Cricetulus griseus: one gene and its partners. The protein of the gene in region 1 purifies or fractionates together with the protein of each later gene. This does not show direct contact. Links are inferred from orthologs where the notes say so. Each region holds a gene or a part of one and is shown on either strand. Other genes may lie near its edges.

Region 1 (4,869 bases):
AAGTTTACCATATTTAAATCTGGGACATGCCACATATGATTTGGTCCCGTGTCCTATCCCCTAATCCCATCAACACCCACACACCAGGCAAGTACACAGTTTCTTGTAAATTCTCATGTAGAGTTATTTGAGTTTTTGACAGTGAAGTCGTCACCCAATACTTTATTTGTAAAGCATACACAGTTTGTTAGCTAAAGGAATTCTCATGAATCACATTATTAGAAATACTTTAATAATTTGTTTCATGAATTCATTTTTTTAGCCTAAGAACAAATGAGGGCTTATAAAGTCTTATAAAAGTTACTTTTAAATCAGGATAGAAAACACACTGTGAAGATGGTGACTCCCATGCATTGGCTGATAGCTCAGAGACAAGCTGAAGCCAATAAGCTACATGTAAGATGTCAGAAATGCTTGGAATTTGGACATTGGATGTATGAATGCAAAGGAAAAAGAAAGTACCTCCACAGGCCTTCAAGAACAGCAGAGCTGAAGAAAGCTTTAAAAGAAACTAGATTGTTGCAGCAAAGCATGGGAGAGACTAATATAGAGAGAAAAGCCAAGAAGAGGTCTAAAAGTGTCACGAGTTCCAGTACCTCTAGCAGTGACAGTTTTGCCAGTGAGTCTTCATCAGAGAGCCAGACATCTGCCTCATCCTCCTCAGAAGACAGTGACTTGGATGACAGGTCTCTAGCTCCTCCTCTTCCTCCTCCTCCTCTTCGGACTCAGACTCAGACTCCAGCCACCTCCAGCAGCAGCAGTCGCAGTACAGAGTAGCTCAGATGATGAGCCACCAAAGAAAAAGAAATACAACTCCCTCCACCGGACTAATGGACCAAAAACATCAGTGTGATTCACAGGGGAATTGAAAACATCAGACCTTTCTAAATATTCGCCATTGTACAGAATATTAATAAAAGTTATATATATATGCACACACACACACACACACACACACACACACACACACACACACATATATATTGCACATTTATTTTAGGAATGAATATTGTGTTCTTGCTGTTTTTCTTTTTTTAAAGTTGGGGTCTCGATTTGTAGGCCAGGCTGGCCTGGAACTCACTATGTAGAGGAAAGCCGGCCTTGATTTCACAGAGATCTACCTGCTTTTGCTTCTTCTAATGCAGGGATTAGAGATATGTGCCACCATGCTCAGCTTTTGTTGATTTTTTTTTTTTTGTATTTCAAGTGTATCTGTAGAATATAATCAAAGCTGAAAACCAGGAAATCTGTTTCAATGATGTCATTTTTTCTGCCTATGAAATGAATGCCTTATGTGGATATGTGTTAAGGACAGGCTTTGAAGATACTGCATCAGAATATCAAGTAAGGAGTTGCTCTCTTTTGCTGTGTTTACTATGTGAGATTTGATACATTGTTACTTACTGTAAGTGTGGCTTTCCTACTCTTAATAAATGTGCTCTATTTTTATGTTTGTGCTCAGAAAAAAAAAAAAGAAAACACACTGTGATGATGCAAGCCTTTAAAAAACACTTTATTAATATGTTTCTCACAACTAGGGGAATCTTATTTACCAAGTAACAGAAAAATCCTTATTTTCCAGAAGGAAAAAGCACCAAGAAGCATGGCGCACCCTAACTGCTGAGTGCCAGGACTACTGGTTTCCAGAGTCTCTGAGCTCTACATCACCTGAACCTAAAGTTTTCAGAAATTCCAAATCCAGTGACTCCTGAATGACACACAGCAAACACTACTACTCCTTATACATACACACTCCCTTAGCTTATCAGCATAGACATTCCCTTTCAACTAAACAGATCAAGATTAAATACACAATACCACCTTTCATGAAGCAAGATGAGTAATTCTGAAGAAGAGCAAACATGAATGTACTGGTTGAATCAGTAATCCATTCTTTGTTCAGATGGCTTCTGGTGTCCAATAATACTTTAAAACCATTCTTCATTTATGAGAGAAAAGTACGTACAGTCCCCTTGATTGTACCCCGGCAGATGGGGCACTTTCTCAGAGAAGGGGCACATTCCTGGCAGACTACCAAATGACCACAGGGAATGAACACAATAGAAACCTCTCTGTCCATACACACTTTGCAAGTTCGTTCCTCTTGCAACCTCCGCAACTGCTCTTCCAGCGACAAGCCTAAGAAAGAACAAAAAAGAACATTAGTAAAATGCAACTTCTAAAAAGTAACAGAAATAATGTTGAAGTACTAACTGTACTTTACCTGAAACATCTTCTGTTGGAATATACTTCATATTCTTTTCCACTGAAAAAAGAAAGCATACAAAAATCATTCATTTTTTCAAATCTACTGTTTTTATATAGATTTTTGCTACATATTACAAAGAATACTACCTAGACAGTAAAATACACCAGTATTTTTGGAACAGGTAAAATGTAAAGATTACAGTTTTAACTGGATTTATTCTGCTTGCTCAACAGAGAGATGAACAAAACCCTACTGGTAACTAAATAATTTCCCTAACAAACTCACCAAATAAGTTTTCATATAATGTGGAGTCGATTTCCTTTAGACAGTTTTTGAAGATGTTGGCTGCAGCATTTCCTTTGACTAAAACGGTGTCAATCAGCTCTCTTGCTTGTAAGGGTATCTGTGTTTTCTGTCTAATAATATCATGTTCCTGTTTAGTAATTACACTGGCCTCAAGAAGATTATCCAGGATAGGAAGGACACAGGTCAACTGCTGAAAGAGAGCCATTCTATTCTTCCGTATTAATGACAAGTCACCTTCAGTTAAAAACAAGCAAGGAAAAAGTTCCGTTAAATGTCAAAGGCCCCAAGTATACCCAATGACCCCTATGCACAAATTAGGCACTAAATGGAGCTTGAAGGGGAAGGAAAATGACTTGTTTGCACCTCCATACTGCCATCATAAACTTCCACATTAAATTCAGATGTCCCACACAGCACAAATACTTTCAAGTCTAAATGCTAATGGACCTGGACCCATGTCTGTAAATTGTTGAGAACAAGCAGAAAACTTTAGAGAGTAGTAAAACATGTGCCCTCTTTTTCTTTCTCTTTCCCCACAATGGAGTTAAAAAGTAATTTATTTTTATCTGTATTATATCTCTTTATTGGTTATAAGTACAGGCACACAAACTGTCACATTCAAAATGTCAGTTAAATAAGCCAACTATCTTCCAGAGAGGGAGCCTTAGAACAGCATGAGTGGCTTGTCAAAGACCACAAAATGAGTTGCCAAACCAGTCCTAAACTAGTTGAGTTTTTTGGTTTGTTATTTACTGAGACAGGACCTTATGTATCCAGGCTCCAAATGGAGCCAAGGATAGCCCTGATCCTCATGAGTATCTTCTAGGTATTGGGATTACAGGCATGAACCATCAAGCCTGGTTTACACAGTGCTGATGTCCTTTCTGAGACTCCACACCATCTATGAACTACAGCACTCAAGAGCTTAAGCGACAAGTCAAGATGGACTTTGCTGGCCCAAAGGCAAGTCTAGACACTTCAGCCATGTCCCCCTGCTATACACCTCAGCTTTCCAATCTGAAATATGAGTAACAACACCTTCCTTACAGAGTTCAATAAAATGCATTTTATTACCTTACATTACCTGGTGCATCTTGTAAATCTAAATTTATAGTGCAGCTTTAAAAATTGAATCTAGCTTGTTCATAACAGATAACCTCACTTCAGAGGTAAGAAACCTTAAGTTTAGTTGAATGAGCTGCCTACCTGCTAACCAAAAAAATGCCAGAACTTAAATGTAAATGTGTATCAATCCAGAAGTTAGAATTTTAAACATTTTGATATATGGTCATACAATAAGGCTGTCCTGAACTAGTTAGTCCTTAAAAAAAAATCATTTTCTTCCTTGGGGGGTGGGGGGTGGGGGATGGGATGCCACCGTGTGGGTCCTGGGCATCAAACTCAGCCATCAGGCTTGGTAGCAAGTACCTCATTGGCCTGAACTATTTCTACCTTTATTTAAGGACAAAAGTGTTTTCTAACCTAATACCTCAATTTACATTACACATACAACCTTCACGTCTCTGACAGCTTTTAAGTTTTTTGTACCGTGTGTGTGTGTGTGTGTGTGTGTGTGTGTGTGTGTGTGTGAGAGAGAGAGAGAGAGAGAGAGAGAGAGAGAGAGAGAGATTCAGTACCATGATGTGCATATAGCCATCAGAGGACAACCTGCAGGAGCTGGTTCTCTCCTCCTACTGTGTGCATCTCAGGTACTGAACTAAGGTTATGAGGGTGGACAGCAAGCACCCTTTTCCACTTAGCTGTCTTGCAGGCCCTCTGCTAGCTCTCTGATTCTGTCTTTTGAACCAAGTTTCCCCAGCTTTTACATGTTCCTTGAGAACAATCATCACTTTCACATTATTTACCTCTGCTGTTTACATATTTAAACATATGAAAATATTTGTTGAAAATGTAATTACTCAGAAGACATGTTCTGGGAGGTTAAGATGTTAAAAAAAAAAAAGTACACAAATATCAAAATCATTATATACTGTCCATGGGCTGGACAAAGGATCACAGCCCAGGATCATCTTAAGTTGACTTTTTGGTATAAGGATAACCTAACAAGTAAATACCTACTAATAAAATACCATATTAGAAACCAGATTTAAAGGAACTTTATTTAAAAAGTAGAAATATCTCAATCTTTTAAAGAGAGATTCCTGCTATGTAGCCTAGGCTGACCCTGAGCTCAGCACACTCCTGCTTCACTCTCCTGAATGCTAGGGTTGTAGGAATGAGTCATGTTCCACTACAATCAGCTCTCAATCAGTTTTAAATCTTGCTTTAAAGAAAAAGTATCCATTTGTATGTGTACGTGTATGTGTAGGAGCTGAGTGTCTGTGTGTGCACCA
Region 2 (5,296 bases), on another chromosome or scaffold:
GTCAGGAAGGTCAGCTCCCACAGCTCTCCTAAGTACCGCTTTACCTCTAGCCTTTTGGTGGGGGAAAAGATCCAGCCCCCATTTATGACTGAAACATGTTGCTAGGTATAATTTTATTTTATATAAAATGTGTTCTTCAGAGCCCAGGGTTGGTGCTGGTGGTTAGAGGGACCTGCCCTCTACAGGTCCATTGACTCCTCCACCCAGTGCACTCAGAACCTAGGCTAGGAAGGCGAGGAGGAAATCAGAGCAGAGGGTTCACACTCTTGCTAGTCCAGTCATTCGGTGACCTCAGGGGTCACATATAAGGTCAGTGTTTCTGATCCCCGCCGGATCCGCACTGCCAGCTGTGATTGGGTTCGAACAGCCTCATAAACATCTTCAGCATTTTGTACCATTTTCTCTCCAATGGCCAAAATCACATCACCAGGCCGAAGACCAGCCCTGTGGAGGATGAACATGGCAAGGAAGGAGTACACAGCTGCGTTCAAGGATACATGCACCCCATTCCACCCCACCTCACAGAGCAGGCTTTCCATCACCTGTGTGCAGGGGAGCCCAGGATAACTTTATGGATGAGGACACCATGCTGAACATCAGGGAAGCTTGGTTCTCGGAGCTGTAGTTCAACAAGGATGCTGAAAGGGCACAGACCACCCTGTTAGGTATACCCAGGCCCTCTCTCATCCTGACAGTTCACTTTTTTGGCCTTCTAGCGCTTAGGAAGTGGGAAAAACACATGAAAGATAGCTAATTCCAAATGATACAGTGTTAAACTACATGTCTGTCATTCTACTTTAAGGAAGGGGTAGAACTTAAGCTGAGCCTAAAAGGATGGGTCCTATTAACCATATGAAATAAGAAGGTATTAAGACATAGAAGTGAGCTGGGTGGTGGTGGGCTTTAATCCCAACACTCAGGAGACAGAGGCAGGCAGATCTCTGTGATTTCAAGTCCAGCCTGGTCTACAGAGCAAATTTCAAGACAGCTAAGGCTTCACAGAGAAACCCTATCCTGGGGGTGGCAGGGGGACAGGGGTGGGGAGGAGGGGGGGGGACAACACACAGGTATGGAAAATCAAAGTAATCCAGAAGAAGCAACAAGGCAAGTCTTCAAGGTAATCAGAGAGAGTTGGAAATAGAAATAGCTCTTTTAATGCTAGATCAATGAAGTCTCTAAATCACAGCAGTAACATGACGCAATCAATCTAGTAAAAAGGTACAAGATGCAATAGGATGAAAAAGTTATGATGAGAGGGAACAGCTCTTGTGACAACAACTCACCGTAGATAGACAGACATGAAAACAAAACCCATAACAGAATCCACCTGTAAGGCACAGACACACTTGTGGTCCTACATATCATGATCCCTAATATACCTGGGAGTCAGAGTCAGCATCATCACTCCAATGTAGCGGCGCTGGGACCCACTGATTCCAAACCAGGAATCTGTAAAAAGAGGGCAAATGAGCCCACCCAGCTACATCCTTCTTTCCCTTACCTCCTGCCAGTAAAGCCCTCTCCAGCAAGTCCCAATGAACCGCCCCTCCCCTATGTCCCATCATAAGTAAGAAAGGCTCACTTTTCTTCTCCCCGCGGTGCAGAAACTCCCTAAGGCGATCAGAAGGGATGGCAAAGGAGATTCCAGCTGTCACCTTCATGGTGTTCACTCCAATCACCTCCCCATCCTGCAGGGACACAGCCCTCTGTCCCCTAGCCCACACAGATGGCAGAGTAGCAAAGATTTGGGGGCAGGGGTCTGATTGGATACGAGGAGATAAACAAGAAACTACAGAAACTTAACTAAAAGTCCTTGAATGTTAGAAACACCCAACCTTCCCACACTGACCTGGCGTATGGATTCTTAGAAGAGCATGGCACTCACCAGGTTAACTAGGGGGCCTCCAGAATTTCCAAACTGTGGGATAAGATGAAAGAAAACATCAAAGAGATCTGGAATTCTATGCCTCTGGGAATTCTCTCACTGTAGGCATAACCAGGGTATAGGGAAATTCTTCAGATTCTGTTCCCAGCCCATGAACTAGAGTGGCTGCATTTTGCAGTCCAACGTCTAATATAGGCCCAGCTACATTGGAGTTGGTGCACACACCAGACAGACAGCCATTCTCCCCAGCTCCCACCCAGCTCCAAACTTCTCTCATATCAGGACGCACATCAATAGCTGCATCGGTCTGAATGTATTCCACGTTGTTTTGAGGGAGTCCGAGGTCCCTGGCTGGACGCTGAGCAGAGCTGACAATACCAGATGTGATCGTGTTCTGCAGTGCAAAGGGACTTCCCATGGCAACAACAAACTCCCCTTGCCGGACATCAGCAGAGCGGCCGAGGGGCAGTGTGGGAAGAGGCTCCTTAAGGGAAACGAGTACGCCAAAACTGGTCATTTTAAGACGGGAGCAAGTAAACAGCTGCCATCAGATCCGGCCTACTCCATTCCCACCTTGGTCTGAATCCTCAACGTGGCAATGTCCGCTACAGGATCCACAGCTGTAACCACGGCCTCGTATGTGTCTCCACTAGGCAGCCGCACTCGCACTCGGCGCCGGTCAGCCACCACGTGGGCGTTGGTAACGATGAGCCCATCTGAAGCCACTACGAATCCTGAGCCGTTTGAGATGGGGACTTCGCGGCCTGAGAAAGGGTGCCTGGGATGGGGGAAAGCACCGGTTACACTTCTGCTTTCCACCCCATCCTGCTCACTTGCCTTAGGGCAGTTGGTTTCAACACCTCCCGGTCAACTTCACCATTACCGATCCAGGATTTCGATATAGACCACGGCTGGGGCTGTCTTCTCCACCACATCTGCGATGAAATTGTACTGGCTCCGGGGAGAGCTGGGCGGCGGAGCGGGGACAGCGGCCAGCACCGCGGGAGGACCCCGCCCCCAGCCCCACAACAGCAGCAACATTGCTCCCCCTGCGCCCACCGCCACCGCCAGCCATTCGCGCCGACGGGGGCCGGGGCTCCTGCGGGCCTCCTGGGCACTGGAGCCTGCAGTCCCCACGGCCAGCCGTGCCCAGAGATCTGGGGTCCCAGACGTCAGACATGCCCGTGATGCAAGGACCCCCACAGGCACCCGGGCCGGGAGAGGGTCGGGACTTCCTAACGTCAGCAGAGCCTGAAGGTCAGGGGTAAAAAGGGGGCCCTTCCCCCAGAAGATGCCCCCCAAAGCCCGCCAAGCCCGAAGGCTCCAGCCTGCACCCCGCCCCGCCTTCAGCGCAGCCATCAGCTCCGCCTCGGCTCTCTCCTTGCCCGCCCTACTCAGAGGCGGTGCCCTGAAGCCCAGCAAGCCGACTGGGAGAAGCGAGGCACGCCGGTATCTGTCCGGTGCATGCCGGGAATTGTAGTTCTTTCAGGACGCGTTGTCCGGGGCGAACACATACACGCAGACTTTACGCCTCCCGGGGGCCGCAAGGCATGCTGGGAGCGCTTGCCCTTCCGGGGCGCCTCTGGACCTCCGGTTCTGGCATCCCCCGCGGATGCCCAAAGACTCCGCCTTCCCAGGAGTCCCCGCGGCCCTGCGAAGATGGCGGCGACACCGGCCCTGCTTTCCTGAGGCGGCTGCGATGGAACCTCCTCCAGCTCCGGGGCCGGAGCGGCTCTTTGACTCGCACCGGTAAGCGCTGCGGAGGGAAGAGGCCGGTCAGCGCGTTCTCTCGGCTTCGGCGCCTGATCGCGTCGCCTCTCGCCGCAGGCTCCCGAGCGACGGCTTCCTGCTGCTCGCGCTGCTGCTCTACGCTCCGGTCGGCCTGTGTCTCCTGGTTCTGCGCCTCTTCCTAGGGCTCCACGTCTTCCTGGTCAGCTGTGCTCTGCCCGACAGCGTCCTCCGCAGGTGCGGACTGCGGTGCCCCGGGAGCATCGGGGCTGGGCCTGGGTCAAGACCGCACAGTCACTGCCGCCTGTGTCCCCAGGTTCGTGGTGCGGACCATGTGTGCAGTGCTGGGGCTCGTGGCCCGGCAGGAGGACTCCGGACTCCGGGATCACCGCGTCAGGGTCCTTATTTCCAACCATGTCACACCTTTTGACCACAACATAGTCAACCTGCTCACCACCTGTAGCACCGTGAGTGGGGGCGAGGCCGAGAGCGCCACCGGGTGGCTCCCCAGGCCCGAGCTCAGTGCTCACCTCTACCCATTAGGGTTCTCTTGGGGAACACCGATCTTTTCCCTCACCCCATAAGCACCACCCCACGTGTTACCTTTTTTCTTCTTTCCTGTTTGACATCCCCCCCCCCCCCCGTTCTCTCCTTGCTCTCTCTCCTCCCTGCTCTCAGCCTCTACTCAATAGCCCCCCCAGCTTTGTGTGCTGGTCTCGGGGCTTCATGGAGATGGATAGGCGGGTGGAGTTGGTGGAGTCACTCAAGAAATTCTGTGCTTCCACAAGGCTTCCGCCCACACCTTTGCTGCTCTTCCCTGAGGAAGAGGCTACCAATGGCAGAGAGGGGCTGCTGCGTTTCAGGTGGGTAAGCACAGATCTCTGACTCCAGTTTAGTGGACTGTGTCAAGCTCCTGGGTGAACCTGCTCCAGTTCATTTCCTGTCTGTCCACTTTTAGTTCTGTCCCCTAAATTCTTAATTCCTTGATTATTTGCTCATGTAGTTGGACAGCTTCCTGTTTAAGTCAGGTTTGTGTTGTTGGCCGAGCTCTGCTGGACTCTGTCCGATCCTACTCTCTCTTTCTTAGTTCGTGGCCATTTTCTATCCAGGACGTAGTACAACCTCTTACGCTGCAAGTTCAAAGACCGCTGGTCTCTGTGGTGAGTACATGCTGGACAGGAAATCTCTGGGGTTTGGAGGGGAAGTTTTCCCACCTCTGGCCGTTGCTTAGACCTCACTTCATGCCCTCCCCTCAGACGGTGTCAGATGCTTCCTGGGTCTCAGAACTGCTGTGGTCACTTTTCGTCCCTTTCACGGTGTATCAAGTAAGGTACTAACTGTCCTCAGTTTTGGTGGCTGGGAAGATGCTCATTTCAAGGTCAAAGAAGTAGTGACCTCTGCCCTGTCTGTCTGTGGATTTGTTAATGTCAGAGTTCCACCACAGAGGCAACACTTCCCCCTTCACCTCCCCCTCTCATCACCATTGTCCCAAGATAGCTGGGGAAGGGATGACATCCTTAGCCCTGGTGCCTTAACAGGGTACTGCTTTGTTTTCTGTAGGTGGCTTCATCCAGTTCATCGGCAGCTTGGGGAGGAGAATGAGGAGTTTGCACTCCGTGTACAACAGGTAGTAGTGAGCAGAGGCATGGTGGAGGTGGGGCCCCTCTTCAGGGTGGGGTAGAA
Region 3 (5,286 bases), on another chromosome or scaffold:
CACAGGCCCCATGTCCAGGAGTGTCTGGCCAACACAAAACAAACTCAATAGTATTTTTGGAGATTTTTTTGTATCATTTCTGCTTTGTTTGGACTTTTGTTTGTTTTATTGGTATTTTGCTTGTTTATTTTGATTTCCATATTTGTGTGTGTGTTTTTTGGGTTTTTGTTTTTGCTTGTTTGAGAGGGGGGAGAGAGAGGGAGAGGGAGGGAGGGAGGCAGGCAGGGAGAGAGAGAGAGAGAGAGAGAGAGAGAGAGAGAGAGAGAGAGAGAGAGAGAGAGAGAGAGAAGAACACATGTTGGGTGAATAGAGAAGTGGAGAGGCTCTGGGAAGGATTGGGGGAGGGGAAACCATGATCAAAATACATTGTATGAAAAAAATGTTTTCAAGGAAAGATTACTTTTCAAAAAAAATTGCTTCAAACGAAACTTAAATGGTGTGGAAGAAAACAGCACAAAATTTGCAAATAGAAGACATTGGAAAAGGTTGTAAAGAATGACTTGCAAGCAGGAAAGCCAAGGTCTATATTTTGGATGTATTCCTTAGACGTTTCAAGGAACAGACCATGTTCACGAAACTCTTGTTAGAATATGGAGCGTTTTGGCATTTTTTTCTCACTTTACTTTCTGAAAGTAAACTTTAGTGTAGAAACTCATCACTGATAGGTTCTGTAAAATGAAAATATAGATGAATTTGTCTTATGAATATGAATGTGAAAATTCTCAGTAAATCACAAACATTTGCTTTCCAGTATGTATTTTCTTAATGTAAACTAGATACAAGATAATCAATTTGGACACACATTTTGCATACCCTCTTTGGATGTAACTTTCGAAAGCTGTTTGCAGGAAGCATATGAACAGCTGCTTTGTTTATAGATCTGGTTGCTCTGCCTGGATAGGGCTCCTTGGCTTACAACAACATTGTTTTCATTCTTTTCTGTTAGTTTGAGCTGTGAACTGAATTGTGAAGCCAAAATGATAGAAGAGAGGCGTCTAAGCATGTGGATTGAAGAGAAAAAGGAAATGTGTAGGCTTGGTTTGGTTTGATCAACCAATTTATTATTTTCATCTGAGAAATAACAAAATACGTTTTCTATTTATAAATCAGCTCAGTCACAGAAACACAGCAGCACCCTGATTTCTGCTAGGTCTTTTAAAAAAGCAGATCACTGCCTCATTAGAAATGCTAAAATATGACAGTTGTCTCTAATGTTACCAAAGACACTGAGTATTGTTTAACATTTATATTTTTTATTAAGTGCACCCTTAATAAAGCAAGATATATTTTTAATGATAAAGCATTTCCCTCAAGCCAAGAGCCAATGTCGTGGGTTTTTTTTTGGTTGTTGCTGTTGTTTTTTCATATTAACCACTAGGGAAATTCCCCTGAGATCAGAAATATAACAGTTGACTACTTTCTCCTCTGTTACGAAGCCCTGATCCACCAATTCTATCTAGTTGGTGTGGTGAGAAAACAAAAAGGAAGAAGCATGTCCAAGCATTCTTTTTGATCTAGAAATCACAGGTAAGTTATGTAATTTAGAAAAAACAAGATATCGATAAATGACCAGATAAAATTATGAAATCAAGATGTTACCAGTAGTTAAAACACACCTGAAAGAACATTCTCACTGGGATAATTCCCATGCTGTGTTCATAAAGGAGCAGACAAAGCAAACTGGCTTGGAATACATTCTACTATTTATATCTACAACGTGTAATGCAAAGGACCCCAGATGTTTACCAAAGCCTCAATATATAGCAAGAGAGGATGTTCACAGACGGGGAAGGTTTTTTACTGCACGGACAATCATTTCCCTTAATGTGACTGCACACATTTTCTAAAATTCCAACCAGAATTTTTCCCCAGGGGAATTTTAGTGATTTGTTTTGAGTCATCCTGGTGGCCATAGTTGAAAATGTTTAAGAGCTCTAGAACCCCCGCTGGCTTCTGGGCACACATTTAGGCACAATGAGTTCACATACAGTTCCACATCCCCCAGAGGCAGAGTAGTATGTTACCTATATCCTTACACATGCAACTGTACTCCTAGGGAGACCAAAGAGATGGCAGTGGAGACAGTTTCCAGGAATGATATGATCATTCTGTAACTTGGATAAAGTCATTTTCTCTTTTCCTCATTCTACTGCAGCTTGGGTAAAACATCCTAAGCATAGTTTGAATATTGTGAGAGGGCAGGACAGTGGTGGTAAAAAGCCAGGGAAAATGAACTGATGTGAGTTTATATTTAAGTCTTGTCTAACTATGTCACTGAATTACTACCACTGAAAATATTGGATCATTTTCCTCTAGCAGACACTTACTGTCTAAAAACTATCAATATGACAATACTGATAACAGTTCTTGATATTTAATCTAGGATTATCCTTACGAAAATATTATATAATCTTTAATATTAATGAAAATAAAGGGCTTGTTGGTAACAAAGTAAGACTTGATTACTATAATTAGAATTCCTTATAAAGCTAATAATTGATGTCATAAAATATTCATCATCATGTATTTCTTATGAGAATAAAAGTAAGTTAAGTTAATATTTGAATAGACACATTTGGTCATGCTGAAATTGATTTTTTAAAAGTATAAGCAAAAAGTATGACTACATATGCTTTTAATTTACTTCCACCTTAGTAAGCTAACTTAGGTCAAATATCTCTCAGTCTTATGGCATAAAAAAATCACTTCTTGAGAAGACTTACATATCAGATACAAACTTTTAAATTCATTTCAATTAAAGACATAAAAAATTCTATGTTAGGGGGAGGCTGGGCATTGGTGACACACACCTTTAATCCCAGCACTCGGGAGGCAGAGACAGGTGGATCTCTGTGAGTTCGAGGCCAGCCTGGTCTCCAGAACGAGTGCCAGGGTAGGCTCCAAAGCTACACAAAGAAACCCTGTCTCGAAGGAAAAAAAAAAAAGTTAGGGGGAAAGAAAAAGAGTCACAGTGTTTTAAAGTTTCCTTGGGTCTTGGCTTTTTTGAAGGCCAGATTTCTAACTGTGTCAGTGATGACCTAGGCACCACTGACTTGTGTCTGGAGCTGGTTAGCTGGCTGGTGCAGGAGTGGAACAGATCTTGCCATACTGAAGGCATCCCAACCACCTTGCTATGCTAAGAATTAATAGGAATTAGGAAGATTTGATTACCTCGTTTCCAGGTTACACGACTCCCTTCATAGACTACTTTTCTTTAAAGATGTAGGCAGGTACACGTTCTGGAAGCTGTTTTCACAGGCTCTGCAATGCTGCCCAAACTGTCCTGAGCTCTCCCTTGTGTTGAACTGGGGACTTCCACTAAAAATCCCCTGACTTGAAGACTTCCTTATTTGTAGCTATCAACAGCCAATCATGGCAAGATATTGAAATGAAGCAAAAACTACCAGAAAATATTCTGAAACCACCCGTGACTATAACTCTGGCTTCCTTTTGAAGCAATGATATTTTACCTGAATAGTTAAGGCATTAAAAAAAATTAGAAACTACAAACATGAATTTTTTTGGAAGAAGTATTTTCCATGTAAAAAGTTTTAAAAGTCAGCTTATTTGAAAATGCCATTTAGTCTTTGAGCCACATTTGACCCCAAACCATTGTATTTATAAGTAACAGGCAAAACTCATATTTGAGTATAATCTGAGTATATTTTTCTTTGCTTTCTGACTTACAGAGGTCACTTGGATGAAACCTAGTGAAAAAATAAGGTATGGCTTCAGATTCCAGAGTTTGAATATAAACCGTGGTAAGAAAGGTGAAGCAAAGAAGACTCTTCAGACAGAATTTCTAGTTTGAGACATAAGTCTCTGGTTACATAGATGAGCATATGTTCCAACACACCAGGGGAATTTCTCTCAGGCCACGTGGAACTAAGCTGTTAGTTTTACAAGGAAACGGAAGGCAGCAGTATTTGGACATTTTTCATTGTTATAAAATGTTAGAGTTGGAAATTTAGACAGCTTCTGTTCCATTTCCCTTTTCTTACAGATGAGTAAACAGGGGAGGTAAATGTTCAATGTCACAAAGTTAGAAGCAACAGTCGCTCTAAGTGACCTGAATTTAAGTGCAATGTCATATTTACTGCATTATGCTCTCCCATGGGAAGTCCAGGAGCTGGAACAAGGCTGGATCTAGTGGGAAGTTGCCCTGCTGAGTTAGGAAGTCTGTGGAGGCATCCCCCAGAATTCCAGTTAATAGAAACTAAAATTTACACTTTCTGATTTGTAGTCTAGTTTCTTTGCTACTTTAAAGCCCTACCATCTCATTACATATTACAAGCATGTTGGATGTAATGTTGCATATGGTGGAATTATCCTCTAAAAATATGTTTTTGAAGTTTCTAAAGTGCCGATTAAGAGTGTGTTTAAAACTGTTCTATTTACCCATTAAATGCACAGTGAAGCATTTCTTTCACATTATGTCCTTATAACAATCTTACTCATGAAATATCAGATGTTAAACATGCTTTTGTCCAATGGAAAACTAGAATCTAACTGTAAATACAACAAAGTGAAATATCAAAAACTTAAGATAGTATTGGTGTGAGGAAATTTATTCCTTATGAATTTACAGTTATGAAGCAAGCTTTTAAAAGCTTTTTTGGGAAAGTGGTGCTTCCATATTGACTTGGAAATACTCCAATTTTTTGTTGTCTCCATCCTGTAACCCTCTCTCTATTATTTACTTTGGCCATTGGGTTTGGCTGAGACCCAAACTTCTGGAAACTGGCTATTCCCAGTATATTGGCCTCAACCAGGTGAAACATTGAGAGAGACTTCCAAGACTGTGGAAACACTTTTTGAAGAAGTAATGTGTAATGTGTAAGTGTGTGAAATTAAAAGCCTATGACACCATAGACTAATTTAGACTCTTGGCAAGGTAACTGAATATTTTGGCTTGTTGTCCTTATGTCCTTTGTCAGATGTCTTTGGCCATTCCTGCCCCCTATTCTGTCTTTTTATCTTCAGAGAAATTCCAATAGGAAAGGAAGGAACAAGTGGGCGTGGGTGTCAAGCCCAAGTTAAGGGTGTGTGTGTGGGAACTTAGGTTCCAATTCAGACAAATGACCAGGATGTTGGCTAACCAATAAAAGCAGCAGCATCATAGGGTAGGATGGTTCTCAATGTAAGTCTGTGAGGATGGTCTCCCCATGAAGAATCTGTTATAGCTGCTCTTTCCCTCTATCTCTGAGGTAGGAAAAGGCAAGTTCTGTTAGCTGTTAACTAACATTCAGTTCTGTTAGATACTAACTAAGATTGGTTCTGTTAACT

Evidence for each region. Proteins that work in one complex are often made in the same cells at the same time.
Region 2: the proteins of Birc2 (region 1) and Htra2 purify together in Homo sapiens (affinity purification with mass spectrometry; 4 studies listed by BioGRID and IntAct, counting the BioPlex papers as one, with this or other methods). This does not show direct contact. The link is inferred for Cricetulus griseus from reciprocal best matches to the Homo sapiens genes BIRC2 and HTRA2.
Region 3: the proteins of Birc2 (region 1) and Tank purify together in Homo sapiens (affinity purification with mass spectrometry; 4 studies listed by BioGRID and IntAct, with this or other methods). This does not show direct contact. The link is inferred for Cricetulus griseus from reciprocal best matches to the Homo sapiens genes BIRC2 and TANK.

What each region holds. Positions count from the first base shown.
Region 1 is NC_048597.1:122,199,296-122,204,164, forward strand, and holds the end of Birc2 (baculoviral IAP repeat-containing protein 2), read right to left. Parts: intron 2,750-4,869; coding exon 2,495-2,749; intron 2,267-2,494; coding exon 2,225-2,266; intron 2,140-2,224; coding exon 1,946-2,139; 3' UTR 1,487-1,945; downstream 1-1,486. UniProt on the Homo sapiens protein: Multi-functional protein which regulates not only caspases and apoptosis, but also modulates inflammatory signaling and immunity, mitogenic kinase signaling, and cell proliferation, as well as cell invasion and metastasis.
Region 2 is NC_048601.1:74,225,342-74,230,637, forward strand, and holds Htra2 (serine protease HTRA2, mitochondrial), read right to left. Parts: upstream 3,284-5,296; 5' UTR 3,245-3,283; coding exon 2,769-3,244; intron 2,664-2,768; coding exon 2,459-2,663; intron 2,370-2,458; coding exon 2,175-2,369; intron 1,919-2,174; coding exon 1,886-1,918; intron 1,689-1,885; coding exon 1,583-1,688; intron 1,450-1,582; coding exon 1,380-1,449; intron 639-1,379; coding exon 543-638; intron 445-542; coding exon 279-444; 3' UTR 99-278; downstream 1-98. Other genes in the region: Aup1 (ancient ubiquitous protein 1), read left to right, coding at 3,498-3,634, 3,713-3,850, 3,930-4,080, 4,292-4,476, 4,701-4,773, 4,870-4,943, 5,174-5,240.
Region 3 is NC_048599.1:113,304,908-113,310,193, forward strand, and holds the start of Tank (TRAF family member-associated NF-kappa-B activator), read right to left. Parts: upstream 3,284-5,286; 5' UTR 3,172-3,283; intron 1-3,171.